Xenopus tropicalis: one gene and its partners. Each later gene encodes a partner of the first gene's protein in a complex. Links are inferred from orthologs where the notes say so. Each region holds a gene or a part of one and is shown in the gene's direction. Other genes may lie near its edges.

Region 1 (10,800 bases):
GCAAATGTCCCTTCCCTGGAGGATCCTTCTTTTGTTCTTAACTGTAGAGGTTTCGAATTTTTGACTCTGCTTTTTGCGCAATAATTCAAAAAAGTTGCAGTTTTCATGTGACAAGTCCAAAAAAAATGTAATTTTTGCAACTTTTCTGCCACTTTTCCCACACAAGCTTTGAGTAAATCCAGACATTCATAGAAACAAGTTGGAAAAGCCCGTACCTGATCCGATGTGATATTTCCTAAATTGGTGGGTCAACAGTCCATGAAGTGAGTGACTGTGCCGGTTGCTTTGAGCATTTTGTCCAACAACACTTTGAATGCTACTCCTCGAATTATAAATGGTCCTTTTAAGGACTACCTTCTCTGTAAACAATTTAGCCACTATAAAGACCATTTAATTGGATTTAAACCCTGATTAACTGTATTTGTTGTTCTTGTTTTCTTTTGCAGATGCCCAAAGGGTCAGACAGCACCTGGGCCCAGAAGTTATACAATACTCATCTCAAAAAATCTGCATTATTTGAAAAGCCGCGTCTGTCTAATGTGGCTTTTATTATCAAACACTTTGCAGACAAGGTAAAGTCCTCTGCGTGATATAAGTGCTCAGTAAGAGTAAAATAATAGCTGTTCTCTTATAGATGGTTTTACAAGCAAGTAGGTAAAGGTTTTACTAAATACATGCTGCTTCTCAGGGTGGAAAAATGGGAAATATTTTAAGAGAATTATCACTTTAACACTCATAGATTATAAATTCAGAGGTAGGACCTGAATGCTACGTGTTAAGAGTCTATGTTTTTACATTAGTTTCCTAAAACATGGTGCCTAGCGACTAAAAAGTAGCAACATATGGAGCCAGACACAGAAGCAACAAGCTGATATCTGGCCATCAAGGACACTGGCAAGAAAAGTACAGCTTTTTAATCAGAATTAATAAATATACTTTTTGGACAGATTAAACAAAGGAGAAAATGTAAGCACCTAAATAAAGCAAGTCATGGTGTCCTTTTAGGTATTTATGGGTGTATGTCCCTGACCTTTCCACAACCAATTGCACTGTTGCATAAAAACTTTAAAACCTTTTGATGATGTTTTATTAATTTTAGAAACTTGCTGAAAATTATGTTTTCTTTAAATTAGGCACATTTTTATTGTTTGTTTTTGTGGGCTGCATTAAAATAAAGCATGCTGCTTTAAAGGAGTGGTTTGCCTTTAAGTTAAGTTTTAGTATGTTATAGAATGGCCAATTATAAGCAACTTTTCAATTGGTCTTCATTATTTATTTTTTTTAATAGTTTTTCATTATTTGCCACCTTCTAACGTTTTGCAGCTGTCAAATGGGGGTCACTGACCCCGGAAGCCAAAAACCGATTGCTCTGTGAGGCTACAGTTTTACTGTTATTGGTACTTTTTATTAACTATTTTTCTATTCAGGTCCTCCCGTATTTATACACCAGTCTCTCTGTTGCAAAGGTAATTTGGACCCTAGCAACCAGATAGCTGCTGAAACATCAAATTAAAGAGCTACTAAACAAAAATGTTGAATTGTGAAAACAATTGAATCACTACAAATAATAAAAACATGAGCAATCACAAATTGTTTCAGAATATTATTCTCTGCATCATATTAAAAGTTAACGGTGAACAACACCTTTAACAGTGTCACACCCTTCAACTGTGTACCCTTGAAATGGAAGAAACCTACTGATATTAGCTAAGTAACAATGAGCTAAACCACTGCATTAGTATATCAGAATACCGTACACGTCAGCCAGTGTATTGAATTCTCCAGCCCCAATGTGGCAATCATTGCATTAAACTTGCTTTTCTTTTCAGGTAGAGTACCAGTGTGAAGGTTTTCTGGAAAAGAACAAAGATACAGTGTTTGAAGAACAAATTAAAGTGCTGAAAGCAAGTAAGGTTGGTATTGAAAAATATTTTATTCTGTATTTGGGGGCCAGGGCTGACATTCAGTTTGTGCATATTTTGGATTTTTTATCTTTATTGGTAAGGGTACAGTACAGGTATGGGATCCCTTATCCGGAAACCCCTTATCCAGAAAGCTCCGAATTTCGGAAAGCCTGTCTTCCATAGACTCCATTTTAATCAAGTAATCAGAATTTTAAAAACAGTACCTTGTAATTGATTCCAACTAAGATATAAATAATCCTTATTGGATGCAAAACAATCTTATTGGGTTTAATTAATGTTTTATTGATTTTTTAGTAGACTTAAGGTATGGAGTTCCAAATTACGAAAAGACCCCTTATCCGGAATACCCTTGGTCCCGAGCATTCTGGATAACGGGTCCTATACCTGTATTACTTTTTGGGAAGAAAACGCCACTCATAATATGACTGTTAACTGTATGCCTTCTTATTATGGATCCTTGTATTTTATCTCCCCTTTATTTCACTGGCTCTCAAGTAGGTCATAACACTGTATTTCATAGCATTCTATGGCTCAGAAGTATTTCAAGACACAGAGACAGCTCCAAGCCCCACACAGACATAATAATTTATTCTTATGTGTGATTTATATTATGGACACTCTGGAGGGAGGCAGCTGGTGTTGTCAGATATGCCAGTGTGCGTGTGCCCCCATGGGCACAGGTCCTGATTTGACCTAACATATTCAGTTGGCCTAAGGCCAGCCCTAAATGCAAGTACCTATCATCCTGGGGTCAACAACTCTCTCTTCTTCTTCACCCCAGTCTTAAAATGTAGCATAATAGTTATCTGTATGCAGCAGAATATATATACATATATACGTTGGATGAAGGATGCAAGAGTTCTGGAGTGTCACAGTTTACTAACAACTGATCTAGATTTATGTTATGGACTTATGCTAATTCTGGCACAGTGTAATTCTTATAATTCTCATATTTTACCAAAAATAATAGTACTTTTTAAGTATTGTAGCTGGTAAGTCTTATTCACTTTTTTTTCTGTTCCCCATATCCCCTTCAACACATGGTCATCAGAAGGTAAAATCTTTTAAGCAAGCTTCCCTAATAAATGGCTGCTTTCCTGTAGCAGGCCCACAGTACTTTGCTTCTAATTGCATGGCATGGGGCAATTGGGAGGGTTGGAACCATCAACATCATGACACGATTAAATTCTGCAGTGTCCCTGGGATTATCTATAGAGCAGTACAGGCAATAAAGCCTGAACTTAAAATATAGTAGAATTGTTAGCTGGATGTGACAGAATGTATCTAGGTTGGATGAAGGATGCAAGAGCTTTGGGGTATCACAGTTTGCCAGTAACTGTTGTATATTTGTGTTATGGGCATAAAATATTGTTATTCTAATGTCTATAGATATTGTTATTGTGGCCCAGTTCTAATATAACTTTAATAGTGTTTTTTAAATATTGTAGCTGGTATGTCTTATTCTTTTTTTTTCTCCTCCATATTCCATTCAAACATGCTCATCAGAAGGTAAAAACTCTTGACAAGCTTCCCTAATAAATGGCTGCTTTCCTGTAGCAGGCCCATAATACTTTGCTTCTAATTGCATGGCGTGGCGATGTAGGGAGGGTTTGAACTATCAACAGCATGGTACATGCCACCGGAATAGATCAAGTTCTTCAGTGTCCTAGGGGTTTCAGTAAAGCAGCAATGTTACCTATTTAAATCCTGCTAAGTGTATTTTCTATGTTTGTAATACATCGACAAACTAGGTACTTGGCTCTCTGTGGCCGGTCCTAGGAACTAGAAGTGCTTCATTTTATTTTTACCTTGCACGTCTGAAAATCTGTTTCTTTCCGCTTTACTAGTTTGTGTGCCAGTTGGGCTCACCTGTTACATTGTTGCTTGTGTATAGTAGTGTGAAATAGGGAGCCCCATTGTTGTTACTAAATGCATTGTGCAGGAGAATTACTACTGTATATAAAATTGCCCACCTAACTGACCATACCTCACCATGTATCATTTGCATGGGTTTGTTTATGCGCAAGTGCAATCTCTTGTGATTTCTACATACAGAATAATAAGCCTGCCAACCAGATACAACTTTAAAGTAGCAGACAGGAGAAAGACCGCATTAAACGGATAACAGCAGCGCCTCTTGTAGGCAGGAATGGATCTCTTGACAACATTCCACTGATATGCAGAGAATAAATGTTCTTAGTAATGTCCTGGAACTATATTGCCCACAATATTTAAGGGGAAAAATAAATGATAAAAACAAACAATAAAAGGATAAGACAATATACAACAGTATTTATATTCCTACATATTTATTCTTAATGAAGTATAATTCCTCCCTAGTTTACACTGCTAACAGAACTGTTCCAAGAAGAGGAGCAGATCTTGAGCCCTACATCTTCTGCACCACCCTCAGGCCGTACTCTGCTATCCCGCACTGGTCTGCGTTCCCTCAAGCCCAAGCCTGAACAGACAAGCAAGGAGCATAAAAAAACTGTAGGACATCAGGTAATATGACAAAACGATATCTAGTACAACTCTTGCCCGCAGTTTGATGTCTAAATAGATCCAGTGTCTGCTCTGATTACTGACACTGTCTTTCGTTTCTGTTGCAGTTCAGAAATTCCCTTCACCTTCTGATGGAGACTCTCAATGCCACAACTCCACATTATGTCCGTTGCATTAAGCCAAATGACTTCAAGTACCCGTTCACGTATGTAAACTGTGTGTGCTTATAATCCATTGGATGTATGTAACAATGAGTTGCTGCACTGTTTATATATGGTTCTCTATAATAACATTTAGAACCGGAAATTTCATTTATTGTGTTACATTGGTAGAGAATAGTATCTTACTAGAATGGGTCATTTTTTAACTAAACAGTGGGGATATTACAGCTACTCCACATTAGAGATCCCCTGTGTACAAAACGGTCACAACAAAGGTTGGAGGGAGGGGCTTGTATACTGGTAATCTAAGAAACACAACTGGAGTAGCTTTATTGTGCCTGTTTAGCTCAAGAAATAAAAAACAATGATTTCTGGTGATAAGTAAAAAAAGGGAAAAATTTGCTCAGCAAATGACATGAGTCATTGAACTCATGTTAAACATGGGGGTGCACTGCCTCTTTAATTCTAAACTAAGTCTTATGTTATAAAAATGACTCTTAGCAATTATTCTGAGTAGGAAAATGTTGACCTAATGTGGCTAAGAAAAAGCATCTGGACAGGTGACATTTAGAGGAGTGACCTAGTTTTTCTGCCTACTTGTGCAGATCTTACTTCAGTGTACACTACATTCTGTACTAGAATATATAAGAAAAGACATGCTTATTTACTAATTTGTTTTTTAATGTAATTTTTAAATCCCTGTTGTAGATTTGACTCTAAACGAGCAGTGCAGCAGCTTAGGGCTTGTGGCGTCCTGGAAACCATCCGAATCAGTGCTGCTGGATTTCCTTCTAGGTATGCCCCCCATTTTCCATTTCCACATTGTAATGTGCCATAATGTAATACTTCTAGTTCATTTAATGGATAGATATGTGCTACACAGAGCTTAACTGTTCAAGCCACTAATAAGTTCCTTATTTTTCATGTCATAGGTGGACATATCAGGAATTTTTTAGCAGATATCGTGTTTTAATGAAGCAAAAAGATGTCCTCAGTGATAGGAAGCAAACCTGCAAAAATGTTCTGGAGAAGCTTATTTTGGTACGTCAAACTTCTTATAAAAATATATATTTTTTAATAGAGCTTGTAGTTATAATCATTTTAGGCCTGAGTCTTCAGCACAGTTTTTCCATGTGCAATATGCCATACCATATGCAACAAAGTTTGACTGTGTGAATCTAGGTCATTAGCAGTAAACTCTCTATGGAGTGGATTAGTAGATGTGTGGCAAATTGGACACAACACACATATTAAAAGAACGAAATGCAGTACTATTGAATCAGATTTATATCAATCTAAAATCAATCATAGAGCATTATTTGCATCCTTTATGACCTGTATTTGGTTGATGTAGAGCATTAATTCAAGCAACAGCTGTTGTCTAAACTATTGCTTACAAAATCTATTTCAAGGTTTAGTCTCTCTGTCAGCCTCTCAATGATGCCACAATGATAATCTGCAATATTTTGCTGATAGCATTGGGCAGCAAGACATTTTTACAGCTTGACTGCACACTGGAATCATTATCAGAGGTGCAAGAGGTGAATTATTCTGTTACAGAAACTAAACATACAGAGCTAAACTAAAGCAGCCATGAATAGCATGTGGTAAATCATTTACTGAAACCTGTGTGTTATTAAAAGTAATACACTTCTGATCAGTGGCATAGCTAGATGTTATTGGGCCCGATGGCAAATTTAATTTAGGGCCCCAACATATTGGCAATTTGACCTGTTGTACCAAGATATACTGAAATTGCTTATTAATTAGGGCTTCCCATGGTTCCCTATACTCCTGGGCTCCCCTGCAGCTGCAGGTTCTGCTTCCTCTGTAATTAAAATACAGATGTTCAATATGACCTACTTGGTGATTTTCCAGTACAGGTATGGGATCCGTGATCCAGAAAGCTCTCTCTCCCATATACTCCATTTTAATTAAAAAAAAATGATTTTTAAAAACGATTTCCCTTTTCTCCGTAATAATAAAACCCAGCAGGCATAAAATGCTTACATGCAAAAAATGGATGATTTCCTTTCGCATACAAACATTAAATTTAAAAAATATTCTGTGGACTAATCTACTGATTCATCTAGTTACTGTATGAATTTATCTGTGGCCCCCACAGAGTTTGGATTGAACTGCTTGTAATTTTCCCTTGTTCTTCTGAATTTTTTAAATTGACTTTAGAACAGGTATTATCCCATTTTAGTTTCTCTTTCTCACAACCAATTCATGTGTTGGGTTTCTATTGGTAACAGGATAAGGATAAGTACCAGTTTGGTAAGACAAAGATTTTTTTCCGTGCTGGCCAAGTGGCCTATCTGGAGAAGATCCGAGCAGACAAGCTGAGAATGGCCTGTATCAGGATCCAGAAGACAATCCGAGGATGGCTTTTGAGGAAGAAATACTTGCGCATGAGGAAAGCAGCCATAACAATCCAGCGCTACGTCAGAGGATACCAGGCACGATGGTAAGTGAGGCCCCAGAAGCTGCATTGGTTCATAAATTCTGTTTTACATATTGTGCAATATTGGTGTTGGCTTTAATGAACATGGAGGAAATATAGTTTTGTGGTTTTGAAGTAGAACTTAGGGGGGTGTAGAGTGTTTACTTTTTCTGCAATTAAAACCTGACGTTTAGCAGAGCCCAAGCAGAGGGTAGATTGTTATGCACATGGCCTAGCACACCCAGCAATCCTGAGTGAATCTCACTAAAGGCTGTATAGCTCTCCCAACATTTAACTGCCTTTGCATATACATCCCTTCCATCCCTACTTTGTACAATGTATTTTGAACCAACCAATGCTACTTCAGGTACTTTTTCACCTTTTTGCTTTTGCAACTGCCTTTGCACAATTAGGGGCAGATTTACCAAAATGTGAGTTTAGAACTTAATACATAAAAACTCACCCATGTTCTATTCATTCACATTTTCATACATCTGCCCCTTCATCTCAGAATAGGAAATCAATTCTACTGCTTAGGTACCTGCCTAGAGCCCAACAGTAAAGGGTACATGATGTAGAATTAAGTTTGTAGTGGGACTATAACTGACCTAGAGGTTAAAGTAATACTATCATGGAAAACGTGCTTTGAAAAAAGCAAATCAGTTAATAGAGCTTCTCCAGCAGAAAGCACAAGCAGATTTTTTATATTTCATTTTAAAATTTTACATGGCTACCCATATTCTTCACAGCCATGTGACCTGTGCTCTGATAAACTTCAGTCACACTTTACTGCTGAGCTGCAACTTGGAGTAATATCTCCCCCAACCCAGCAGCCGATCGGCAGAACAATGGGAAGGGAGCAAGATAGCAACTCCCAGTAGATATCAGAATAGCACTCAGTAGTAAGAAAGTCCGGCTTTGGATTCCTTCAGTTACATGGGAGAAGGAGAAACAATAGGTTACCTGAAAGCAGTTCTAATGTGTAGCGCTGGCTCCTTCTGAAAGCTCAGACTCGGGCACAATGCACTGACATGGCTGCCTACACACCAATATCACAGCTAAAACAGAACATTTGAAATGATAGAGTGAATTATTTTCCATGGAAACAGTGTAATTTAGAAGTAAACTGTAAAAATCATGAAAGTATCCATTTAAGTAATCAACCTTTGATGTCGGATCTCGTACTAGAGACTCTAGTTCAATTTCCTGTGGCAGCTCCTTGTGACCTTCAAAAAGTACTGTACTGGCATACTTAAAGTACCTAATAGTGGGGGCCTTGCTTGCTATAAAGTTTTTTGAGTCCCATAGGAGAAAACCGTTATATACACTATTAACTTATACCTTACATCAGCTGAATTAGAAAATATAGGACTGGGTCTGTTATTTACAACACAAACAAGCAGCCAAGGAAAACCAACACATTTCAAACTGAATGAGCAGGTAATTGTTGACTTTGGCAACAGCAGCTATTAGTATGAGTCTTTTTTTCAGTTATTGGCATGTTTTTATTTATTACAATTCTGCTTATTTCTTTCTTACTTTATGTATTCAGTTATGCACAGTTTCTGCGTAGAACACAGGCCGCGATTATTATCCAGAAATTCCAAAGGATGTATGTCGTTCGGCAAAAGTACCGTCATATGCAGTCCATTACCCTTGCTCTCCAGTCGTATATGCGTGGTTATGCAGCCAGGAAGAGATTTCAGGGGGTAAGAGATTATTCAAATATAGTAAAAATGACTCCCGTAAAACCCACCTAAACTCAGTCATATATAGGCATATTAATGAGGCTGTGTAAATAAAATTCACAGAAAAAACGGTAAAAAGGCTGAGTAAAATAAAAGGCAAATGTATCGAGGTGGGTTTTATTTTACACTGTCCAAACCCCAGGTTTGATACCGTTATTTTACACTGCTTTAGACCTTGTGTAGGTAAGTTTGGGCGGAAGCCACTTTAAGAAATAAAATGCATAAAAAAGCTATTCCGATTTTTATAATAAATCTGCCCCATGACCCTGACACTCTTTCTGGCCTTAATGGGAATCTATCTCTTCATTTTCTCTTCATGCAGTAGTTGGAGTCAGGTTTGGATCGACAGTTAGCTCTAATACATCCTTTGGGGGGGATTGCGCCCTTTGCCTAGAAGTATTAGAGCTCACTCTTTCAAAATAACTGGCTTTTGCAGAAATTCTGTTTCTCTACATGCAGGATTTGTACCGAAGTCGGTTATTTTATATGTGCTGGAGTTAGTGATTTGGGTTAGCTAGGAAAGGAAGCCCATATACGATGTATTAGACCAATCAAAATCTGACCCCAACTTCTGCATGAAGGGAGAATGAAGAAAGACAGGTTGATGAGAGGGGGATAGTGAAGAGTAACTTGATTATTTCAGAAATGGCACAGATTATATTTAAAATGTTCTATTTTTAATTTTCACAATAGTTCCCCTTTAAAGACAATTATCTATATAATCAGTGCTGTGTTTATTTAAAAATATAAAAACATTATTCCCTATCCTAGTCTTTTATTACCCTCTCTTACCTGCTGCCACAATGATAGGGGAAGGTACAATTTTTAATGAAGTCATAGAGGCTGTGCACTTCTATAAATGGTTTGTCCTCATGATTAGGATGTACAGTGCAGCTAAGACTCCATTGTACATTTCCCAAATGTGCAACTAAATCCACTTAGGTTAAAGTAAGTTGACATTTTTATTTCAAATCACAACTGAAAACCTACTATAAATAGTAGTAGCACTGGTATGGTCGCCCTGCTGCAACTGCACTTGCTAGCATAATCAGCACAACTAGCCTTTTTTGCTCAATGTGCCTACTGTAAAGAACAGTGACCTCACCCATTAAGTACTTTTCTATAACTTTTATTTCCCATTTTTTTTTTAAATCCTTTGAAGACATTCTGAAAGTGCTCCTTCCTACATCCTTACAGTGCTTTGTATCAAGAACACCAATGCCTTTCATAGTGGTGACTATCAATTACAAATGAAACACATTATCTCTATATTATCAATCACATATTAATTCAAGATTTTTCTCTCAAATCGAGATTTGCAATGTTGTCCTTTCCAAATACTCCAAGTAAAATTTGTAACCTAATATATTGTATATCGGTAATATTGTACTGGCAACTATTGGGTTTATGTAATAAAAGGCACTAAGTTTACCCAGGAGCATAAACCCATAGCAAACAATCAGTAGGTAGCATTTACAGGTCATCTCTAAATCTCATTGGTTACTATGTGTTACTGCTCTTGGGCAAACTTAGTGCCTTTCATTGCATAACCCTATATGTCTCTAAAGCTGGCCATAAATGCGATGATATAATAGTACAAAACAAGTAAGTTTCACAAGATTTTTGGGCCCTGTGTGGGGGTTTTGAATAATTGTACCATGGTGATTGGTCGTTTAGTTGATCAGACAGGTTAGAACATTTCTGTTGGATAGCAATAATACATATTGTTATATTTTTAATGTTGTCCTTTTTCTGGTGCTGTTACCAGTACTATAGCAGCTGCTACAATTTTTGTCTGTTAATACATGGCCAGAACATTGTCTAATTTGTTATTTTTCCAACTTTAATCCTAAAGTTAAAAGCTGACTGGTTAGTTTGATGTTGTTGCATTAAAATGTACAATCAATATCCAAATGTTTGTCATACAACAACTAAAATCTGAACATGCATGGCCAGCTTTAGATGCAGTTGGCCATAGTTTAGAAACATTATGCTTTTAGTACAGAACACAGATA
Region 2 (11,349 bases), on another chromosome or scaffold:
TTTCACCTTCCTCTTGATCATCTAGATGTTTGGTAAATTAAACCCAACAGACACACTTACCCTCAATTACTATATAACAGTGTCTTTTATCTACTGATGGGACACAAGCACATTTCTCATCTTAACTCCTTACTGGATAGCAAACTACAGAGGGAAATTATATAGATAGTAAAATGGAATCCCAGTCACGACTACACTGGCCATAGGATTTGCCACAGAAAAAGAGAAGACCAGTGAGAGAATGTGGATGAAAAGAACGTGTGTGTGTGTATTGTAGATATCCCAGTAGGGAACTTTTTTCCTTACACCTCCCAGTTTGAGGAGGAAGGGTCCCATGACGGCTTATATCAGCTGGTGCCTGGTCAGATGGGGAACTATTGCAGTTAGAATAGAAAATATTGCAAGGAGAGAAAGAATCCGCATACTCTTCTTTACATTATTGAAGTATTAAAAACCCAGATTTATATGCTTGTACACTGGAGCCAGTAACTAAAAAGATTACAGGCAGCACTCCATAGTATCATTAAAAATGCTTTTATTATCACAATATGGACAACAGCAACATTTCAAGCCTAATTGTCTGTGTTGTGATAATAAAGGTATTTTTAACAATACCATGGAGTGCTGCCTGTAACCATTGGAATTCATGTGTCCAGGAGAGAAAGGACCCTGATGGATGTGCCTCCATTGTTGAATCTTGCAATAAAGTGAGTGCTACCTATTGGGTTTGGGCCATTAACTAAAAAGCTCAGTTTGAAAGGAACAGTTCAGTGTAAAAATAAAATAGGATAAAAAGACAAGCTGTGGGAAATAAAAAATGTTTTTAATATAGTTATTTAGCAAAAAATGTAATATATAAAGTCTGGAGGGGAGGGAACTAAATAGCCAGAACACAACTTAATCTCTAACCTGTTAGTCAGTCGGCCAATAGAATGGGGACCACATGGTACATTGCTGCTCAGTTAGTTTGTTTTTGGTCCTGACCTGTGTGCTTAGCAAACTAACTAAACAATTATGTTCCATGTGGCCCCTCTTTAAGTTGGAGAGCATATCCAATGGGTGTGTATGGTTCTATTCACAGATTCTATTCCCACAGTGCAACTGGGTAGGTTTCCACTCACACCAAACCAGGATTCGGCCAAACATTTTTAAGCAGAAATCACACAATCCAAGTGCCTGAACCTCTAAATATCACATGACTTTTCACCACGCATTTAAGAAAATTGCTAAATTGCTCATTTCTTCCCATACACTGTGCATGCACGGATCTTTTTCCTGTTACAGGGCACACCTTTGCATATGCAAATTAAGGTTCAGGATTTGGCCAAATCCTGCATGAACAATTTATTATTTACCCTAACCCCTAAAATAAGGATTTAGTGCATCCGTAATTAAAAGGAAGTTCATCATTAATTCACAACCAGTTCTTGAGTGGTTAATCTGACTTACTCTGGGCCACATTAAAATAAAAGCTTAATAAACACTGGACTAATCAAAATCTATACTGGAATACCAGGTATGACTGTGTTAACATTTATAGAACAAAACTGATATATTGGAATATTTTTGCTTTACAAAAGGGTTAGGCAGGGAAGATGTGGACTACAAATAAAGAAAGAAGTGGAGATTTAAGCTTGTGGGACAGGTTTCTATTCCGCCACAGGCCAAGTCAGTTATAATAATGTAAACAAGGTAAACCAAGGATAGCTAGAAGGAAGGGTTATATGTTGCAGAACATGACCTATGAAGGCCATTAATCAGTTACGGGGTAGCACATTTTATTATTATAATCCTTTATTTAAATGGCGCCAACACATTATACAGAAGTTAATTTAAGGTTAAGTCAAGTCCTTGTCCTGATGCCTCATAAAATATATTAATAAAGGTGTCCATCCAGGTCATGAAAAAAACAAAGCAACAAAATGGGTGTTGACTTTCCGCATCCATTGCACTTAATCGATCTTCAGTCATTGCCATTTTGTGCATGATAAGAGAAAATCAGGAAATATTCCGCCACATTCCTCACACAGGTGACCACTTACTTGGGGTTCATCCGGCTGCATCTTCTTCCTAACTAAATTTTGTATCAGTCAGTTTAGTATATTTTGCCTTCCTTTTGGTTTTGGCATAGTGATATCACCGCCTTGTGTTTGCTGCATGTTACAAGAGGAACCTTGTTTTGATCATTTTGAATAATGGTTACATGGTTTCCAGATTTACAGTACTTGAATCTATCGCATTGAACTTCAGAGATATTCTGGTATTCTGAGTGATTATACCAGATGTGTTGGTGGAAGTCTGGGGGTCATCTAATATATTTCTGCTCTGGCAGAAATATATTCAAAACAGTATGCAAGTAACTATGATTAACACAGAAGGCATTGGATATGGTGTGTGGCATATGGTGTGTGGTATTGGATATGGTGTGGGGCATTCAAAATTATTTAAATTATTAGTGCAAGGCTTGAAAACCATGTACCCTCCTCTGGAATCTCAGCACCTACACTCTCTAATATGGCCCTGTTGCCTGTAGAGTATTAATAAATGGCAAATTAACATAATGGGTTGGTGGGTGCAATGTCCATGGTCACTTCAACGAACAACTTTAAATATAAATACATATTTGTGTGTATGTGTGTGATTTGCTTTTTCTCAGTTTTATATTTTTTTGTGTAACAATAATTTCACATTTGTAAATCTGCCCTGAAGTGTTACATATCCAGCAGACAAGCTGCACATTCCTTTTTCTACCACTAGATGGCGAGAAGTCTTCATATCTTCCATTGCTTAGAGCAGTGATCTCCAACCAGTGGCTCATGAGCAACATGCTGCTTACCGACCTCTTGGATGTTGCTCCTAATGGCCTCAAAGCAGGTGCTTATTTTTGAATTTCTGGCTAGGAGTCAAGCTTTGATTGCATAAAAACCCAGTGTAATTGCCAAACAAAGCCTTATGTAGGCTGCCAGTCAACACAGGGGCTATCACATAGCCAATTATAGCTCTTATTGGCTCCTCCAAGAACATTTTTCATGCTTATTGGCTCCTCCAAAACATTTTCCCATTTGTATGTGGCTCACTGGTATAAAAGGTTGGGTATCCCTGGTTTAAAGTGATCCCCAACCAGTGGTTCGGGAGCAACATGTTGCTCACCAACCCCTTGGATGTTGCTCCCAGAGTCCTCAAAGCAGGTTTTATTTTTTAATTCCTGGGTGGCACGTTTTGGTTGAATAAAATCAAAATGTACTACTGTACTAACAAAGCCTTCTGTAAGCTGTGATTCTGTATAGAGGCTACCAAACAGCCAATCACAGCCCTTATTTGGCACCTCCCTGAAACTTTCTATGATGGTTGTATTGCTCCCCAAGTCGTTTTACATTTGACTCTGGCTCACGAGTAAGAAAGGTTGGGGACCCCTGTTGTAGTATGTTTGTGGTTAATCAAATGAACATATACCTTCCACAGCAGTGTTGCTTTATCCAAATGTTAATTGACTACAACAAGCAAGCAAGAGAATCACCAGTTCCACTAAACACAAGAGCTCACAACATTTAATAACAGTGTCATATTGGCAGATGTGGATTATTACTAAATGGGGCCCCAGGCAGGATAGTGCTTTTGAGGCCCCCACCTAAAACTATAGTGTAAAAAGTAGCCTACTACCCGCTCACACTCCACCCACTCCACCTCACTTTACCTCCTTCCACCTTAGACTCACCCTGTATATCCAAAACTGGAGGCAACACAGCCTGATACGATGAGAAGGGAAGTGATGTGATTGGATTTGTGATCAGCTGCATCAGATCCACACCATTCATATTTTACAGTTTTGGGGACTAGGTCAGGTCACCTAACATGTAATCTGGCCCTGCACATTGGCAAGCAAAACCAAAGGTAATTTTCAGTATGTTATGTACAGAACTGGGTGAAGTACCCCAGTAATGATGAATTTCAATAAGGGACATGATAATACAGCAGTAGAATCTATTTTACTGTTTTAGATACTCTTGTGGGGTCATTTACATTTACCCGGTGCCTAATGCAGGTCCTACTCTATTCAAGGCACTTGCCGCAGGTCTCTGTGCTCAAAGTGGAACATTTTCTGTGAGACCCAGTAATTCTTTTTACACCACTGCCTATTTTAGCACAGATACTCAATACCTGGTCTGACACAGCCAACACAGCTTGTACAAATGATAATATAGATTATAATATCTGTACGATTGAAAGCTTCTACACCCACATTTTCAGCAGGAGATGGGCACATCACACACACATTACACAGATTTGGGTGATGAAGCTTCATGCAAGGGAAGTGAGTGACAGTCTCTGCCTGCCTGTGGGTTAATGACTGGAAGGGTTAGTGAGTTCTCCCTGCACTTAGGGTAGAGATGTATCAAGCCTCTGAGCACTGTAAGGACATATAAAGAATTGGAGTGGCTTGCACAAATAGTGTGATATTTCAAAGGACCTGGAGCAGGGGCCCTATCCCTTCCTGATTCATGAATATGTTGTGTTTCCCCAACTACAGATCTAGATGTGTGCCCTTGCTGTGCCCAGCCCTGTGCTCATGTGATGTCTGAGACTGATTATCAGAGGGTACTGCAGCTACCCCCAGGCTTTGGGAGGAGGAACATGTGACACAGGGCAGGGCAGTAACCCTCCCTTCACATAAGTACACTCTCTCACTAGACAGCAGGCCAGCCCAGGCATTCTTGCAGCAGCCAGCGAACAGGTAACTCATTCCTTGGGACAGGGCAGGCTTCACCCATTGCTGTGTATTCTGTGTGCTACAGTATAGTACTAATATTAATGCAAAGCTTCTTACTGGTGTTGGATGGTGTTGGTGACAGGCAGGCTCATCAAGGCTCATCAAGGTTGGTGTTTACTATGCAGAATGGTGTATATTTATTGTTATTATCTATTATTTATTGGTAGTTGGCACAAAGCAAAGTACAGAATGAACAGGAATATAATACAGTGATCAATTGTCGCATTACAAGGAAAACAAACTTTAAGTGCATTATAAGGAGGAGGTCTCTGCACCAAAGATCTTACAGTCTAGCAAATAGTAGTTTTGTGTGCAGACCCAGAGGCTGCCAATGTGTTCTAAAGATGATTGTTTTGATAATCAGAGTGAATAAACTCACCTTAAATACCAGGTGGGGATCTGCTGTTTATCATTAAAATGATTTAATAATGTGTGAATCTACCCTTTCTGCTCATTGCTGCTTAAACCTTGAATTGTTTGGTTTCTGGTATATGTGGGAGTGTTTATATTAGGGCAGTGTATGGAGCTGTTTCTACTGATTGCATTGCCCTCATGCTACAGCTACCTTGTGTGCTGCTCCACAAAAGCAAGTCGGTGATATATACATGCTCTATAAGGGCTGTAATATACAAAAGTGTCTTTTGACAAATTATACAAAGCAGAAATCTAGCTGACATGGGCTAAATCCCCTCTCATCCACAACGGCCTCCGTGGATCGAAAATATATCCCATGATCCCACAATACACCTGCCCAAGCAGCACTTACATTGGATGTAAAGGCTAAAATAACATTTGGGCCAATGACATAAATACTAAGCAACTTTCCAATATACATTAATCACACATTTTTAGTGGTTTAAAACTTATTTGTGTCTTTAAACAGTAAAGCAGAAGCCAGGTGACTGTGAGACTACTTTTACTTTGTTTCAAGAGACTGAAACAGCAGTGGTGAAAGGAACAAAATAAAAATACTGTATTTACATTTCCAAAATAACTTTAAAAACTATGTCACTTTGTACTTACTATATATTGGAAATTTGCTAAAAATTCTATTTTCAATAAGGCACGATTTACATTTTGGGCATAAATCCCCTTAAATGAAAGAGCTTGCACAGAATTTAGCACAGTGCAGTACTCTGGCATAACAATTATTATTAATCATGGTTTCTCTTTTTATGTATCAGTGAAGGCATTTTGGTCAGTGCCCTGTAGAACTATAATATAAGATATTGTGATATTTTCTGTGCCTGCCTTTGGTTAAGATGCTGATGTGTACCTTCCTCACTACAATCCAGCTTTATGGCAGAGTATATGAAACTTACCTTGTTCGGACAGCAGTCGGCAATGTGATATTATTGTGCCCATAAAGGGTTAAAACATTGCTTTTTGTCAGTTACTTTGCCCCTTGTTTATCTGGCACCTTGTAACAAAGCTCACTTTAGAAAAAACATGTTTATACTTTATATATAAATACAAAGAATTTAGATTTCACTTGATGTTTAGACTATATCGTATTGGTACTGCTGTGATGCACAAGTGCTAGCAAGGCCCCCATCTCTAGGGCACATTGGTCCAAGCAGCAGTTTTAATTGTGTATTGGGTACAATCAGGATAGATATCCCTCTGTATTCAAAAACAATAAATATATTAAGATATATCTGCAAATAGGCACCAAAGCTGTTGCCTGGGACCCTGAAGTTCCATTTGAATCCAGTTTGTTTAACCATTATTACATCACATTACAAGATGCCACTGGGCGCTTTAAATAAAAATGTGTTAATCTTCCGACTTGATCTTCACAACCGTCACAGCCATTTAGTCATGAGATTCTCAGAAAAACAACCAGAATCAGCCACCATGTACAGATCACTCCGTACCACTTGATTTAGACCTGAAGGCTCTGCTTCTAATCAATTGTTCATCTATCCCAATTTATGCCTCCCACAAAACATTCACAGAAGTTCCAGATCCTGCTGTTTCGGCTACATTGTTACGGGCACAGTTTAACTAAAGGGAACAGAAACTCTTTTTAAGTATCACTTATTCATTGTCTGTTGAAGAAATAGTAAAATAATTGGGTTTATCTTACTGTGTTCCACTGAACTGACAAGAAAAATATCCCAAGGATACAGGGCTGCTCCAGCCATAAAGCAAGGTGAGCATTTTACCTCTGGCGGCAGGGAGGGGCCAGTAACCAAGGGCAGGAAAAAGCTGCCTCTGGTAACTTTAAAGGGGTTGTTCACCTTTGAGTTAACTTTTAGTTCGATGTAGAGAGTAATATTTTGAGACAATTTGCAATTGGTCTTTTATTTTTCATGATTTGTAGTTTTTTTAATCATTTCTGTTCAGAAGCTCTCCACTTTGGAATTTCAGCATCTATCTGGTACCTAGGTTCCAAATTACCTTAGCAACCAGGGAGTGGTCTGAATGAGAGACTGGTATTCAAATAACATAGGATGTGAATAGAAAAAAAACTTGTAGAAAGTAACAATAATAATTAAACTGGAGCCTCACAGAGCAATATATTTCTGGCTGCTGGGGTCAGTGACCCCCATTTGAAAGCTACAAAGAGCTAGAAGGAGAAGGCAAATCATTAAAAGAACTAAATAAATTAATAATAATGATCAGTTGAAAAGATGCTTAGAATTGGCCATTTTATAACATACTAAAAATGAACTTTTAGTATGTAACAACAAAATATGTGGAGGATAAACACTATTGCCCTTTTATGTCAATTCTATAGATTCCACTTGAAAATGGCCCTCACAGCTGGAACTTTGTACTCTTCTTACTGGGTGTAACAGGAAATAATCAATAGCCCAAAGGAATGTAAATATTCAAGAGGTGGGCACGTTGCCATTTTCTTAAAATATCCAGTTTTGCTGCAATCTAACCCCAAGCTATGGCTTATAGTTACAGTTAGCTTCACAGCCAAGTTCCCATGAGTTTGCTGTTTGTTTATACATTTTAAGGCTTTTCTATCCTTTATGTGACTTAACCAGAAGTACCAACATCTGACAAAAATGCCTCTATGTCTGTGCCTCACTCTGAAATAGTTACCCACACAAATAATATGATCAGACATTAAAACACATGAATATTATAATTATTAGCATGCACAACTGGTCCTTTCCTATGATTCCTGTATCATTGCTATGTTATTCTTGTCAGCGCCCATGGCACAACCCTGCAGCCTAGTGTATTCTGTTGTTTTATGGGCAGGTAGAGCAAAAGTCAGTTCTAACTGGCAGCTCAATAGTTCTTTAAAAAGTATATACAGATCACTAGAAAAAAGAGCTGTTAATAACAAAAAGTCATTTTAAAATGTAAGAGGGCATGTACACAAGTGGAACCTTCGCTTAACACATTTCATGGCCTCTTGCCACTCCCTCAGAAGTATCAAGTGTTGGTTCCACTTGTGTACTTGCACTCTTACATTTTAAAACGACTGAATAAAAATGACTTTTTTATTAACAGCTCTTTTTTCTAGTGATCTGTATATACATTTTTACAGGACTAGTTTGATGCCTTCTGGGAACCGGCTATGACCAGTAAGTGCTCCCATGAATTAACGAATACTAACTGGCAGCTCAACCATATACCAATAAGCATGTGTTTTGTTGTGCATGGATTTCCTAAACTAATCTATTTGGCACAGTTTTATAAGCTTATTTTAAATATCATATTCTTTCCTTGAGATCATCATATGTTTTCTTTATGTACATATTACAGACACCACTCAATATGATTATCCACATTAGCTACTGATCTAATGCAATAACTTTTTATGGCTCCCAAATCTTAGTGCATTTGTTTCTCATTTATGGACTGTGCATCATTCTGGGCTGTGAATTGACACTTAAGCTGTGTTGTATTCTGTCATATTAGAGATGGGGATATACAGGGTTTTGGTTGCTCTGTCTCTGATATCACTTTATATACCCGTTGTACAATGTATATATAAATATATAATTTAGAGATCCAAGAAATATTAAGCATTGATATGGCCAAGACCATACTTAGCCATATCAAATCTTGCAGGCCCTGGTTCCCCGCTTAGTCCCATTAGTCCAGCAATGTTAGAGCTGGGCCAAATCTTAGCAACACCGAAGGCAACCCCTCTCATTAATCCCCCCCCCTCCAGGTTACAGTGAAGTGGTAAGTGGGAGGGGGCTTTGTGGCAATGAGCAGGATTGGCAATGCGATGTGCCACCATCACTATTAAGCATTGCATCACTGCTCCCCCTGCCAGCTGACTGCAGAAAGTTAAAGAAAGCCTATCCAGGGATAGAGGCAGAAGAGATATTTGCCTAGTGCTACCCTTCTGTTGCACCCTAGGTATGTGCCACCTATGCCCACTCCTAGTTCCCTGAGCAATTTAGACAAAAGGGTTTGTTGTTTGAAATAATTAGGGCAAAGGAACAAGTTTAAATGTGAGAGGAGGGGGCACCCAAGTTGTGTCATCACATCCAACTTGTGGTAGGGGCAGTAATGCACTCTGCACCTCATGCCAGATAAAAAAGTCCCAAATGAGGTACAGAGCCCAGCATTGGCAGGGTGTTGTTACCTTATGTTATAGGACAGGTGGTAAGTACAGGGCCCTGTTGCATACTGCTTCTGCCCTAACTTGGGCATCTGAATGGAATGCTTTGCACTCCTGCCCCTCACCAGTACACATTGCTTTATTCATAGATGTGGTCACAAGCCTCCATTTTGGAACAATTTATTTAGCCAGGAAGGCAAGTTGCCCTTTTTTTTTAACTTTGCACCCTACGTGGTAAATTACCCTACGTTTACACCCTCTGCTGTAACTGTTTTTTAAGCAGAAATGCAATATGCAGGGGGATTATCTGTGCACTGGTAATGTAATGACCTACCTCTCGGACCAAACAGGAGAAGCTTCAGTTTCCCTCATTGCCCTGTTTAGCTCAAGAAATAACAAAAAACATAGATTGTCAATTATTTAAACAATAGGCAAAGCATGTATAGCACAAGCCCTATTTGTTGCACTTATATTGAACTAGGGAATATACTGTTCCTTTAAGAAGAGAGAGGAGTAACAATTGGTAAGAGATTACAGGAAAAGGCTGCCAGCCGCAATAGGATGTGTATAATGCACTGGGAGTTGCCAAAAGCTCAGTAATTAGCTACCAGTTATAATCAAGCAAAGCAAACAGTGAACAGGTGCCTAAGTAAACACTGTATTGAATCCTGTATGTACCTGCAGGCGGGATGGAAAGAATGATTCTGAGAGGTGAGAACCAGTGCATGGGCAAGGGCAACTCTAAACTGCGCATTACACTGATATATGTGTATGTAACCCCAGCTGTATAAAATATAAGGATATTTGAACTTAACAAAGAGTTCCACAACTCCAGCACAATAACTTCAAATTTGCTCATATTTTGCAATGGGGGTACATTATTATTTTTAATACAAAGGTTTCAAATGAAAATAGTCACTAGGATCTGAATAGCCATGGACTCCCACCTGTTCTGTTAGTTGGCAGATGCTGGGCATTTGTTATCCCTATTTTATCAGTACAGCCAATCAATGCTAAAAGTGAGAAGGCCTAGGGAAGGGTACCCGGAATATATGGTAGTAAAATGTACATTTAGGGCTGTGACACATGAGGAGATTAGTCGCTCGCAATTAATCTCCTCTAGCAGTTTCCTCGCTGCTTCTTGATGCGACTTCGGGCGACTTCGGGAAATTGTAGGGACGTGTATGCCATCCCACTGGTGATTTACATTTTTGCCAGTAGGATGGCGTTGCAGGGAAATTATTCGCCTGTGGTAACGAAGATTTGTTATGGGGCAACTAATCTCCCCGTGTGCCACTGCCCTAAATGCCAGAAAATACCCTGCATAGACAATACTAAGAATTGCCACTGCACACGTAGAGACATGTATCAGTAAATGATCAGCACTGTCTATTTTTGTAGCCGTGACAAGTAGCTCTGTGTGTCTTCGCCCTAAATGTTGCCACTGCTTGTGTCTGCAGCAAGCAAAGCGAACTGTGTCTTATCAGCCAACATACTTACAGGAATCTTTGTGGGCAGGCCAGTAAGATAAGCAAGCACAGACAGTAAGCTGCTTACACAAAAAACAGATATGGCAAGTAGGCTGTAAGATCTTCTGGGCGGGGCCTATTCTCTTCTTTTATTGTTATTGGTTGTTTTTGTATGTTCAATGTATATACCCATTTACAGGTTTGGACTGGGGTGTGTGAGGCCCATTTGGACACAGGGGCCCCCACACCCCCTCAGGGGCCACCAACCTCCCACTCACCCACCACCAGCCCCTTCCCCACTCCACAAGTGTACCTTATACTTTGCCATGATCAAGGAGGAAGGGCTGTGATGGCAACCGGTGGGATCAGGTCTGGGTTAGCGGGGTCCATTGTGTTTTTTCTGCCGGCCCATTCCGACCCTGCCTATTTATTGTATAGTGCTAATAATTATAATTATAATAATTAGAATTGAACACCATAACTTTTTTCTTTACATTTTTAAAGTAAGGTCCATTCTGTTAGGGTTACCAAATTACATGAAATCCAGGGACATGTCTAATAAATGTGTG
Region 3 (11,227 bases), on another chromosome or scaffold:
AATGGGAGGGTAACTTACAGACACAAATAGGAGGATGTTAAATGCTGCAGGTTCCAGTGGTTGGTGCTGCAATATAAGTGCCAGATCCCAGTTCCAGTGTTCTGCAAGTGTTTTAAGAGACAGAGGAAAGATTCTCTCTAAAGAAATTCAGTGATGGTGTTCCAAATGTAAGAAACAGCAAGGCATAAGGGTTTAAAGCAGTTTTACAGCAGTAATAGTGGGGGGGTGGGGGGTGGCTGTTGCTCTGAGAGGGGCAGAGGAGTTGCCAGGAATGTTTGAAGACACAGAAGAGATGTAGTGAGGTGCAGAGGAATGGAGTTTGTAAGTTATTCTTTGTTTTATGGGAAGCCATGATAAGGACTTCAGCAGTGGAGGGGGCTGTACCCTCTTGGACAAAAGGTGAAGGATTCTTGCAACAGGAATTAATACAGAACAGACTGTAGTGGGGAGTGATGCGCGTTCCATTTAGTAGCAGGTTGCAGTAGTCTAGTCAGGATAGGATAAGAGCATGCATGAGCATCGTAGCTGTTGCTTGTGAAAGAAAGGGACAGATTTTGACAATAATGCGTAAGAAAAAGTGATCAGTTTTGACAGTGGAGTTAACACAGCATGTTGCATTCTGTGCTTACATACACTTGTGTGAGTACACCGCCAATAGGAAAGAATAGACTCATGACGAGGTTGGCTATTAAATTCATCAAGGGTGTGTGTCTAACAAATAAACATCCCCATAAATTTTACATTTCTTTCTCTTTTAAATGAGCCTGCCTTTTGTTTTCTTGTTTGAAATCCTATTTAAATGGCAAAGTTAAGCTCTCCTCCTGTGTCCTTGTAGGATGAGCTAATGCTGCACTGCATAGGCCTAGCAATAAAGTCTCCGAAGAGACCCATTATGTGACCTTGAATAAAAATATCACATCCTCTTGTAGGCATCCAGTAACCTCAGTGTGAGGAAATATAATAATGTCTCAAACAGGAAGATCAGCATTTCATTGTCGGCAAGACTGTCTGCAAGGAAAGACACAACATCTAATATTAAAAGGAAACTAAAGTCCTAAAACATATTCCACTCAATGCCCACCCACGTCCATCTCATAACACAAGCACTTACACAAGTCACAAGCTGGTTTTAGAAAATCAGCATATTGTCAATGCATCTTATACAAATCACTTACCAAAACCCAGCTCATCCCTTTAAAATCAGGCACTTTTTAAAATTAATATTATTTTTTATTACAGCTCTGACATAAGGCACAGTGCTTTCTAGAGATACATATATATCATTTACATCAGTTCCTGTCCCAGTGGAGCTTACAGCCTAAAATTTCTACCACACTAGGGTTGTTTTCAGCAGGAACCAATTAACTCACATCCTGAATTAAGTGTTTAATTTATTTAGCTGCATACCTCAGATTGCACTGGTCTCTTTGCACCTCTGCTATGGGCATATAAAGTAGTTGCTATTTAGCCATTCAGCATGTGAAGTTCATGTGTCCAGGCTTAATGAAGTGGCAACCATACTGGTAAGACCAATTCACAAAAAGTGCTGTTATCCTAAATCTAAATCAAATGTATTTTATGCTGGTTTCAGATTTTAACCCTATCTTATGCAAATAATTTTTATGTCAAAAGGTGTTTTGAATTTAACTTCCATTTTGATATTATTAACGTGAGATCCAAAAAACTTACATCAAGTTGTACCAAAGTGAACAAAAATGCTGCCTTTCCAAGGTATTGTGACTATAATATACATTTTATGACATGTTATTTTATTAAAGGATGAGTGAAGGGTTAATAACTGGAGGGTGCCAAATGGACAGGCTCCCCCCAGTCAGTGTTGTAACTACATGGCACCAGGTCCCCCTGCCCACTCACAGGTAGAACAGCTGGGGAGGAGGATTTCTACACAACTACAGAGAAAGCAGACCCTGCAGTCTGTGCCTCCCTGCAACCACAGGGTCGTTTTCCTGCCCCAGTGATTATAATCTCTTTAGCAAACATAAAGTCAAAACTTAGCACAAAATTATCTCTACTGTATATGCACACCACCCAGGGCAGCTGCTAGTGATCCTTAGGACTAAAGACAAGATGGAGGTACAGTGTTTAATATAATAGCAACCCGCAATGGTGCAATATACCCCATTATACCAGGTGTTTTGATCACTACTGCAGGCAGCGCCAATCAATACCTGGTTCTCAATGCAATTGATTTCCATTTGAGAGCAAACTAAATAGTAGAAGGTTGCCCTGTACAAGTGATGATCACTCAAACACAGAGCAGTCTATGTTGGGCAATAACCAATAATCCCTATGTACTATATTGAGCCAAATGCACAGCTGAGAGAGAGACAGATTTCTTAAAGGCTAATTTTCCTAAATGAGACACTGCTATTATCTGGCATTACCCTTTTCACTACAGTTAGAGTCAAAATGCACTGTCAGCATGTTGTGTATCAGTTGTCCAGCTTTTTAATGGTTTGCAGAAAGAAAGCAGAGCAGAAAAAGTTAATTAAAGTAATGAACATTTGTAACAAGTTCTTCCTTCCAGATTTTAGGCAAAGTATACGTAACGCATGTAAGATGCAGATGTGTGTACTTACCCCCCCTTCTTTTCACTGTTACCCAAATTAATAAAAACCATATTGAGAAAAAAAAATTATACGTAACCAAAGACTAAAGGGAGCATGACGAGATTTTATTTTAATTTTGGCAAACATTGATGGCTGTATAAATTATAACACATGCTTATTTTATTGACCTAACGCCTAAAAAAAGATTTTTTTACAGGTGACACAGAAGGTAGATTCTATCAGCCTGATTAGGTAAAACAAATAATTAAGGTAATGGTAATAATTACACGCCCACAGTGCAAAGTATGTGTATGAGCTATAAATAGAAGCTTACTAAACTGATCTGCAGTAACTAGTGTTATCTAACAGGTTGCTGTGCTGTAGATATTGCACTTTGTCACACAGAGTGTGCTCTGCTGCTCTCTGCCTATGTTTTTTAGGGCTATGAAATGTGGTGCTACTTGTAGCCAGCTACTTGTCACAGCTACAAAACACCGGAATACCCTACCATAGACACAGGCCCGGGCCTAGGGCGGCATAAATTTTGGGGTGGCATGCCGCCCAACCGGACTTGAATTTACTCACATACGGAGAACTGGGGACGGGACGCAGCAAAAACTTCAGTACATCCCATCCCCATTGCTCCATGTGCACGGTGTACGGATGCGCGATCCTGGGGGGGTGGAGAATGGGGGTGGTCTGAAAGGCAAATCCAGCGTTACAAAGACAATATTGAGAACTGTCTCTGCCAGGGACCCACCAAAAAACCTTAAACCATAGGCCCACTCTTCAAACTATTTTCCCCCCCTTTGCTCAATCAACCTCTTTATTCTCCTAGTCTTTTTTATTTACATGCTAGCATCTATTTTTCCATCTATTTCTCACCTTTGTTCCCATTCAAAAATAGGAAATGGCCATGAAGTAGACCAAATGATCAGGAGCTGGAGGGCCCACTGACACCTCGGCCCACCGGGAGTTTTCCGGGTATCCTGGTGGGCCAGTCCGACACTGGTCTCTGCTAAAACACATAGAGACAATTGCCAGTATTGTCTATTTCATAGCTGCAACATATAGTAGCTCTGTGTGTCATTGCCTTTAGGCAGGCAGAGAGAAGCTTATCCAGTCTCTTCTGCAGCTCAAGCAAATGCTGTACTTGTCAGTAAAGAGACATGGAGCTGAGGAAGAGAGTAGATCCACTTCTCTCCTCCTGCCTAAAAAGCACAAGCTGAGAGCAGTGGAGCCAACACTCTGGCATACACCGGAAGATCTGCTCAATTGGAATTATTTGCCCAATTTGGAAATCCAAGTGGTGGGCCAAATTAGGCTGAGGCTGTTGTTGGTATGACCCATAATTAGTTATTGATTAGGGAGACAAATGGAATTGTATATATGTATCAGATAGTGGGTGGTAACCAGAGTCAGACTGGGTTGTGTGGGCCAACAAGAGCTGGCATCCCAGGGGCCCCTGCTGCCCACACACACCCTGCCCTTCCCCCAAAGTGCACATATCTGATACTTACCTAGGCGAGATCAGGGGGGGGGGGTGCCAGTGGGGATCAAGTCTGGGTTGATGGGACCCAGTGTTCTGCCAGCCCAGTCCAACCATGGTGAAAATTACAGCTGAAATGCTGAACCTATGGGCTGTCAGTGGACAAAGTTCACCTTCAAGCCCAGTAGTCCCAAAAATGTCGACCAAGTAGACATTATGAAGGAGCAGGTGAGGCAGTCTATGCCTAACTAAAGAGATAGGAGACCCTGAACATGCTCTTGGGCCAAGAAAGTACAGTATACGGAGCCTAGTGGGTCACTAAGCCCTTTTTTCAATAAATCTTTGCAAATAATGTCTTATTTTTGCATTTGCGAGAGAGCCCTAAAAAATTGTCATGTTGACCAGTAACATAACCGATCCAGTTCTAGCATTTTAAGACTACAACCAACTTTACAAAAAAATGGTAAGGGATAGTCTTCCCAATGCCAGGACTGGATCACTATGTCCCCGTTGCCATGGCGTCAGAAAAGATCTCGAGAGAGTCTGTGATCTTTGGAATTCCACAAAGCACTTCTAGCTAGCACCAACTAAATAGCAGGTTGAACTACCATTTACCAAACACTGGTTGTAGTACTGTACTGGACTGAAGCCGGAGAAGTTCCCCTTTTTTCTCTATAATCCGTATAGCGCCGTCCCACCCAATTAGCGCTCAGTTTGCGCAGTAAGAAAGGGATTGCTCAGAGACTGAGGGTGCGTGAGTGCGCTGGCACTTATCTGATAGGGGCTGAGCTTTGCACAGGGTTGGGCTGCACATTTACCTCACGTTACTCAATCCTTCGCTTCTCCCTTACAGGCAGTTTGTATGACTCCCACTCAGTTATGTTTTATCACTCGTACAGCAGCTGCCAGGCCTGTGCCCAACCGCCTCAGGTCGCTGTGGGGAAACCTACCTTCCCACCTGCTATCGCATCACTTACCCCTTTCTTGGCTTTTGGTCAGTCCTCAATCCTCTTTCGCTTTATAGAGCCCACTTGTCCTCAATCCTCTTTCGCTTTATAGAGCCCACTTGTCCTCATTTTCAAACTTCCCTCTCTCCCCACCTCCCTCTCCTCCCCAAACAATGATGACACGGTCCCGGTAGGAGGGTTAGAGGGAGGCGGTTGCCCAGCCCCTGCACCGGACTCTGCCTGCCCGGCCGTGCGATGAAGAGCAGCCTGCGGTGCCGAGCCGCCCGGTGATGGAGCTGCTGCCCGTATGGCACAGGCCAGCAGTAGTAGCAGTACCGGGGGGGTCCCGGGGGGAAGCGGGGAGCTGTCCTTGGAGGAAGTGCTGAAATCCTACGAACAGCCGATCAATGAGGAGCAGGCGTGGGCCGTGTGTTACCAATGTTCCCGGGGGCTGCTTGGGCAGCCTTGGCCACCGAGGGGCAGAATTCGGGATCCCTCTTGTCTTCTACTGCACAGGGATGGGGCAATCACCGTTCTACCGGAGACCCAGGGCACGGCGGGTGAGTGGCATTCTGTATGGTGTTCTGTCTTCCTGTGGCGAAGAGCTTGCACTTTAGTGGCACAAAGGGAGAACTATTACGTTATTTGCTTATAACGAATCCTATACATAACGCTTGTAAGGCCAGTAGTAAGAAATGGCACGGTGTGTGGAGGGTTTGGGGCTGAGCATTGGCGCAAACTCGGGGGAAGATAGAGTTACACGGACTGAGTAGTAGAGAGAAACGTTACAGGCACGCAAAGTACCGGGATGAGTAACTTGTGTGCGCACCACAAACATGCAGATGTGTGACACTTTGCCATAAGCGCATCTTTCATGCCTGACTCAGTGTTCCACTGCCCCATGGATATCCCATTCACCCTTATAATAACCTTGCTTGCAAGCCTTTCTGTGTGTGTGGCACGCCTTGGGCACTCCTGGCTTGGGAAAGGCATGTTAAAAATGTAGCAGCTAAGGAAAACAACCATGGGAGATAAAATGCGACCTGGGAAGAAATTTCTCATTTCTGTACCAACTCCTTCCTATAGTACCCCCTACCAAGGCTTTTGGCACCTGTCTGTCCAATTCTTTATATAGAAAACCACCTAAACCCAACATGCTGGGTGCTCCCTAGGCTGAGAGCCAGCACCTGCCTGTGGGAAAAGGCTGGGCAAGCTGCACACAGGTGGAATGTGTATGTAATGCTGTGAGGACTCACCTTCAGCTTTATAACATATTGGCACTGGCTCTGGAACATGTTGTAAGCACCTTAATATTTTGTAAGACTTACCTGAATCTTCAAGCCAAATAGCTGAATTGTCATGCTTTTGACTATTGTTTACATTATGCAGCACAGGCCTGTCAGTAGCATCATGCCAGGAGTGAGCCAGCAGGCCTGTCAGTAGCATCATGCCAGGAGTGAGCCCCAGCTGCCCCCATTGCATTGCAGAGCGCACACAGCACCCTGGCCTCAGTGCATGTCACGGTATTTTGATAGCATAGTAAATCTGTATGTGGGATGTTTATGATATCACTCCCAAGAACATAATAAAGCAATCCTACCTTGCAGTGGAGTAACTAAAATTTCTCAAGCCCCTAGTGCAAAATAATTTGAGGGCACCTCAAATATTGGAATTGCTTGTTGTTCAGTGCCCCACTAGCCCTCTGTATCTCATGGGTACCCCAGCATTTGTAAAGCCCAGTTCTTCCTGGGATTTGTTATTTATGATAGCTACAGCTTAGATGTCTTTGACATAGATACATTCAAATTCACATTTTGAGCCAAATGTGATCCTGCATAGATTAAAGGGATTCCATTCTGCTTTTCACTCCCCTGATCCATTGTATGTATAGTGGAACCAGTTCTGTTTTTAGAGCTGCCTTTTAGAAGCATACTGAGAAAACCTTTACATTTAAGTTATAAGGCCGGATGAACTGGGGCAGAAATAGCATTACATAATGTCAGTTAAAAAAATTTTATGGTTAACTTCAAAAACACATATGATCTTAGCTGGGTAGTTGGCAACAGACAAGAAAAGAGGATTAGTTCTTTCACAGGCTGTAAAGTTGTTTTTGTTGGCATCGTCATAACCAGACATAGAAGTAACAGCATTGACTTTAATCACCAGACTTGCTTTGTTAATGCAAGCCAGCATAATTAGCCCATTATCTTAAAACAGTGTTTTGAAAACAGAAACCTTATTTTTCATTTTCCGCTACTCTATTGTTTGCTTTCACTGTAATCAATATTTTGATATTAGATATAAATAGTATTTTTCACATATTATAAACAAAAATTTTCATTTACTGTCTCGCTAATAGTGTTTAATATTTCCAGCTGACTCATCTAATCATATAATATATATATATATATATATATATATATATATATATATATATATATATATATATATATATATATATAATCTCATTATATAATAATAAATCAATAAATGAATGGAGAGCAGTCCTGTCACACTACTGTGGATCTGGTTTCACTGACTCCCGACAAAGATGGGGGACCGAAACTTTGAGCAAAATAAACCTTTGTAAAATTGATTCAGAATATTCTGTTCCGTGTCATTCTTCTGCATTGTGTTTATATACACACATAGATATACATATAATATTTTATTACTGGAACAAGGGCAGCGCTCCTAGGATTTAAAGAATTGCGAGCAGAATGGAAATGCAAAAATAGAAAAGTTTATTACTCGACGTTTCAGTCTCACACTGTGAGTGAAAAAAAAAATATATATTCTTAGATACCAAATCACAGTTTCAGTAAACAAACAAATCTGAGGTGTGGATCATTATTGTTAATGGGCTGCTGAACCTATAGGTTGGCGCAGTAATTTCATTCTAAAAAAAAAAAATGGCATTTCTAGCCATATACATTTTTAGGGTTTAGTTTTCCTTTTAATGATGACTTGGTGGCTGACTTTCTGTGTATGCCAGTTGTGATGGCTAAAGCCTAGCATATGTTGGTGCAGGGCTGGAGGTGAAAATCTTTAGCACCAAGTGTAGCAATATATTGATTGGTTGCAGAAATTTTCCTCTACTTTTCAAACTGCCAGCATGCTGGCATGCTGGCATGTAACCGTAGAGTTCTTCGATAGTCTGATCATTGTATCAAAGTTCAACCTTTTATCGTGAATAATGCATACATGTGTGTATTTAAGTTCATCATTTTGCCAATCTGTGAAACTAAAACTTTCCATGCCCTGAGGCAAACCTTGGCATTGTGAAGGACAAATAAGGTAAGGTAACAAAATCAGTAAGCAATTTAAATTGTCAGGTACTACAGGAGTTATTTAACTAAATAGACAGGCATACTGACAATATTAGAAAGAAAAAATCGCCCTCAGCACCCAATATCCAAGGGATAATTTATTCAAAAGTGCGTATTGTTTAGAAAACTGTGTGGCCTGGTTAGGAAGTTATGTTGCTGTCGTAGACATTCTCCTATGCATGTGTGCAGCAAACCACTACCTAAGCCACGTTACACCTGCAAGGTCAGGTGGGTGCTAAAAAGCCACTGTGTGAAGTATAATTGCCATGGTGTTGTCAAAAAAGTGACATGACTATGATTGTTAGTTTCCCTTTGAAAGAAAATCTGCTGTGTTCTTATCAACAAAATGATTATTGTAGCCAGAGAAGGTGCAAGGAAACTGGCAACACTGCAAAATGCAATGTACAGATTAGATGTAATTCTAAAATATGAGCAAATATCAGGAAGACTTGCACTCAGTGGGGCACACATATCCTATATGAGCTGCATTAGTGGCTGGCAGTCCCATAATCTGCCATTCTGACTTCAGATTATAATTCATAATTAGAGTGATGTACTTGAGCTTCTAGCATCAAAGCATTGGCATGAATCTTATTTAAAATACACTTTACTCAAATTATTTTTTCTTTTGTTGTAGAATGTGATGTACTGAAGCACCATATGATAGTCATTACTGTTGATTCAAACTTTCTGTTTGTCCATTTAGATACTTTATATTGGGGTGACTTGGTGTGTAATACATTGGTTGGTTGGTTGTTTATGGGACATGTTGCTGATATTCATAGTTTGGACCCTTAAATCCATTGAAAGCTAAGCATAATGCTTCACTGTATAATTACATTCTTGACAACTCTGTGGCAACAGTTTGGTAAAAGCTCTTTCCTGTTTCAGGAGAACAGAACTTGACTGGTCTGCAAAAACTCTAACTTTATTACAACTGATCACCTTTGGATTGGATTGCAATGCTAACTGTGAGCCAGGCCTGATCTATATCACTAGATTTTTATTTCTATTTATGAATTAATTTTCTTTCCAGACACTATCCTAAACCAAATCACACATACAGTGCTTTTTAGGGTTGACACCTTTTCTGCTTGTCTTTTTTCATATATATTTTTTTTTTTACACATTAATATTGGCAGGGATTATTTTCTGACCTTCACATAATGCACTCAAAGCCAATCTGGCCATGATTTGTTCCTTGCTGCCTGTCCTCATTTCTTTTTAGCACTTTCCCACTCGTGCTGTAATGCACACTAGACCTTCTCTCTGGAGATTCCTTTAGTGTTGCTGGATCCCTTTGTGCTCATAACTTCTTATTACTACGCTGCTCTCCTTTTTCAGTGCTCTCTGTCTTGCTGCCTTAGCATGACATCATCCAGAAACACGTGCATATAGACTATGCTAATGGAGATTTATTACATACTTCTGATTAATTTATGTCTTCAGACACATGTCTTTGTGTGAGTTACAGGGCAATTAGTGCATTGTAAGCTAACATGCAATTTCATTTAATAAGATGTCTTAACCTACCTGCCCACATCTTCCTGTTAATGAATGCTAGGAATGACACATTCCCCAATAGGATACATGTCTTTGAAAAGTATGTTCTAATCATTGGATAGATGAGTGACCCCTTACAGCTCATCATAAAGATATTACAAGTTATTGATTGGGGTATGTAGGCCTGGGGCTGCAGGAAATTGCTCTTGCAGCATATTCTCTGTCTGGCAGACCCAGTCTCTTCAGTTCCTATAAATTCTGAGCATCTAGAATTTCATGCAGAGAAAGCTTTTCCTGTTTAGCACTAAGGTTTCATGGAATAATGCAGAAGTTGACACATTTGCAACAACAGCTAGGCTCAGTACCTAAACATCATGTCTTTGTATATATACAGTGTTTGTTAATATACTGAAAGCATTCACCCTGGCTCTCATGGTGATTTGTGTTTTTGATATGAAAGTCTTGTGGTATAAAAAGGAAATTTTATTGAGCAGACTTATATTAAACAGGATTAAATAAAGCAGAAGTTTAGTATCAAATTGACACTAACAGTCCAAAGCAATAACATTTTGTTTCATAATTTCTTTTGTTCTGTAGTTGGCATTAAAGGCTGCTTCATTGCTAGCCTCACCTATCTGTTAAAAAAAAATGTTAATTTGTCTGTATAGATAAGCAATACAATAGATAATATAAATCTAGCCATCTCATTTTCTTTTTTTTGTAAGTTGCAATTTTTATTGCTTTGTTGTAAAGTTAACAAGGCATATTAAGACCGTCCACACAATTGTTCATACGTCATCATTAGTGAAAAAAAATAGCAGAGAACATAAGAAAAAAAAAAGGTATTACTGGGAAGAAAAAGGAGAAAAATACCATAGGAGTACTTGGCTGTGGCTATATGGGGTGCATAAGTTTGTGGTTAAACTTAATGTGAAAGTAATTCCCAAGGGGACTATACTATAAGATATTGGGGCGGCGGTTTATTCTGTAACCGGGCCAAACCATATTCAAATTGTTTGAAGTTTTAACCCTCTGTTTTCACATCTGAGAGGGCTGGAATGGTGGGTGTCTTCCATTTAGCTATGATAGAAATGCGGGCAACCAAGAGTACCTGGTTGACCAGCTTTTGTGTATGTTTAAAGAGTTGTTAAAAGGCCTTCTCCAAGAGAAAAGTGAGGATGTCCTTATCTAGGGTTAGGAACGTGATCTGGTGCAATAGTGTCAAGACCTCATCCCAAAATTGTTGTATTATAGGGCAAAGCCAAAAAAATGTGGGATGGTCCCCCAGCTGTCCGCATCCCCTCCAGCAATTGTGTGTAGTTTCTGGAAACAGTGCATGGAGCTTAAACTGGTGTGTGGTACCAGAACATGATTATTTTATAAATATTT

What was found.
Region 2: the proteins of myo5a (region 1) and mlph are in contact, whole or in part, in a crystal structure (PDB 4KP3), measured with the Mus musculus proteins. The link is inferred for Xenopus tropicalis from reciprocal best matches to the Homo sapiens genes MYO5A and MLPH. Residues at the interface, in NP_034994.2 of Mus musculus: Asp1524, Val1527, Arg1528, Leu1531, Thr1532, Ile1535, Asn1536, Lys1539, Ser1570, Gly1571, Leu1588, Thr1589, Asn1590, Phe1591, Asp1592, Leu1593, Ala1594, Glu1595, Tyr1596, Val1599; in NP_443748.2 of Mus musculus: Lys184, Lys186, Arg187, Leu188, Leu189, Ser190, Phe191, Arg192, Asp195, Phe196, Glu197.
Region 3: the proteins of myo5a (region 1) and spire2 are in contact, whole or in part, in a crystal structure (PDB 5JCY), measured with the Homo sapiens proteins. The link is inferred for Xenopus tropicalis from reciprocal best matches to the Homo sapiens genes MYO5A and SPIRE2. Residues at the interface, in NP_001369276.1 of Homo sapiens: Asp1551, Val1554, Arg1555, Thr1559, Ile1562, Asn1563, Lys1566, Ser1597, Gly1598, Leu1615, Thr1616, Asn1617, Phe1618, Asp1619, Leu1620, Ala1621, Glu1622, Tyr1623, Val1626, Asp1629, Leu1630, Gln1633; in NP_115827.1 of Homo sapiens: Arg404, Pro405, Arg406, Val407, Leu408, Leu409, Lys410, Ala411, Pro412, Thr413, Leu414, Met417, Glu418, Met420.

The regions. Positions count from the first base shown.
Region 1 is NC_030679.2:101,940,900-101,951,699, forward strand, and holds part of myo5a (unconventional myosin-Va), read left to right. Parts: intron 1-446; coding exon 447-572; intron 573-1,829; coding exon 1,830-1,913; intron 1,914-2,976; coding exon 2,977-2,979; intron 2,980-3,431; coding exon 3,432-3,434; intron 3,435-4,265; coding exon 4,266-4,430; intron 4,431-4,537; coding exon 4,538-4,635; intron 4,636-5,299; coding exon 5,300-5,386; intron 5,387-5,523; coding exon 5,524-5,632; intron 5,633-6,849; coding exon 6,850-7,061; intron 7,062-8,589; coding exon 8,590-8,746; intron 8,747-10,800. UniProt on the Homo sapiens protein: Processive actin-based motor that can move in large steps approximating the 36-nm pseudo-repeat of the actin filament. Can hydrolyze ATP in the presence of actin, which is essential for its function as a motor protein. Involved in melanosome transport.
Region 2 is NC_030685.2:60,401,308-60,412,656, forward strand, and holds the start of mlph (melanophilin), read left to right. Parts: upstream 1-4,667; 5' UTR 4,668-4,732; intron 4,733-11,349. UniProt on the Homo sapiens protein: Rab effector protein involved in melanosome transport. Serves as link between melanosome-bound RAB27A and the motor protein MYO5A.
Region 3 is NC_030680.2:59,440,554-59,451,780, reverse strand, and holds the start of spire2 (protein spire homolog 2), read left to right. Parts: upstream 1-5,287; 5' UTR 5,288-5,313; coding exon 5,314-5,566; intron 5,567-11,227. UniProt on the Homo sapiens protein: Acts as an actin nucleation factor, remains associated with the slow-growing pointed end of the new filament.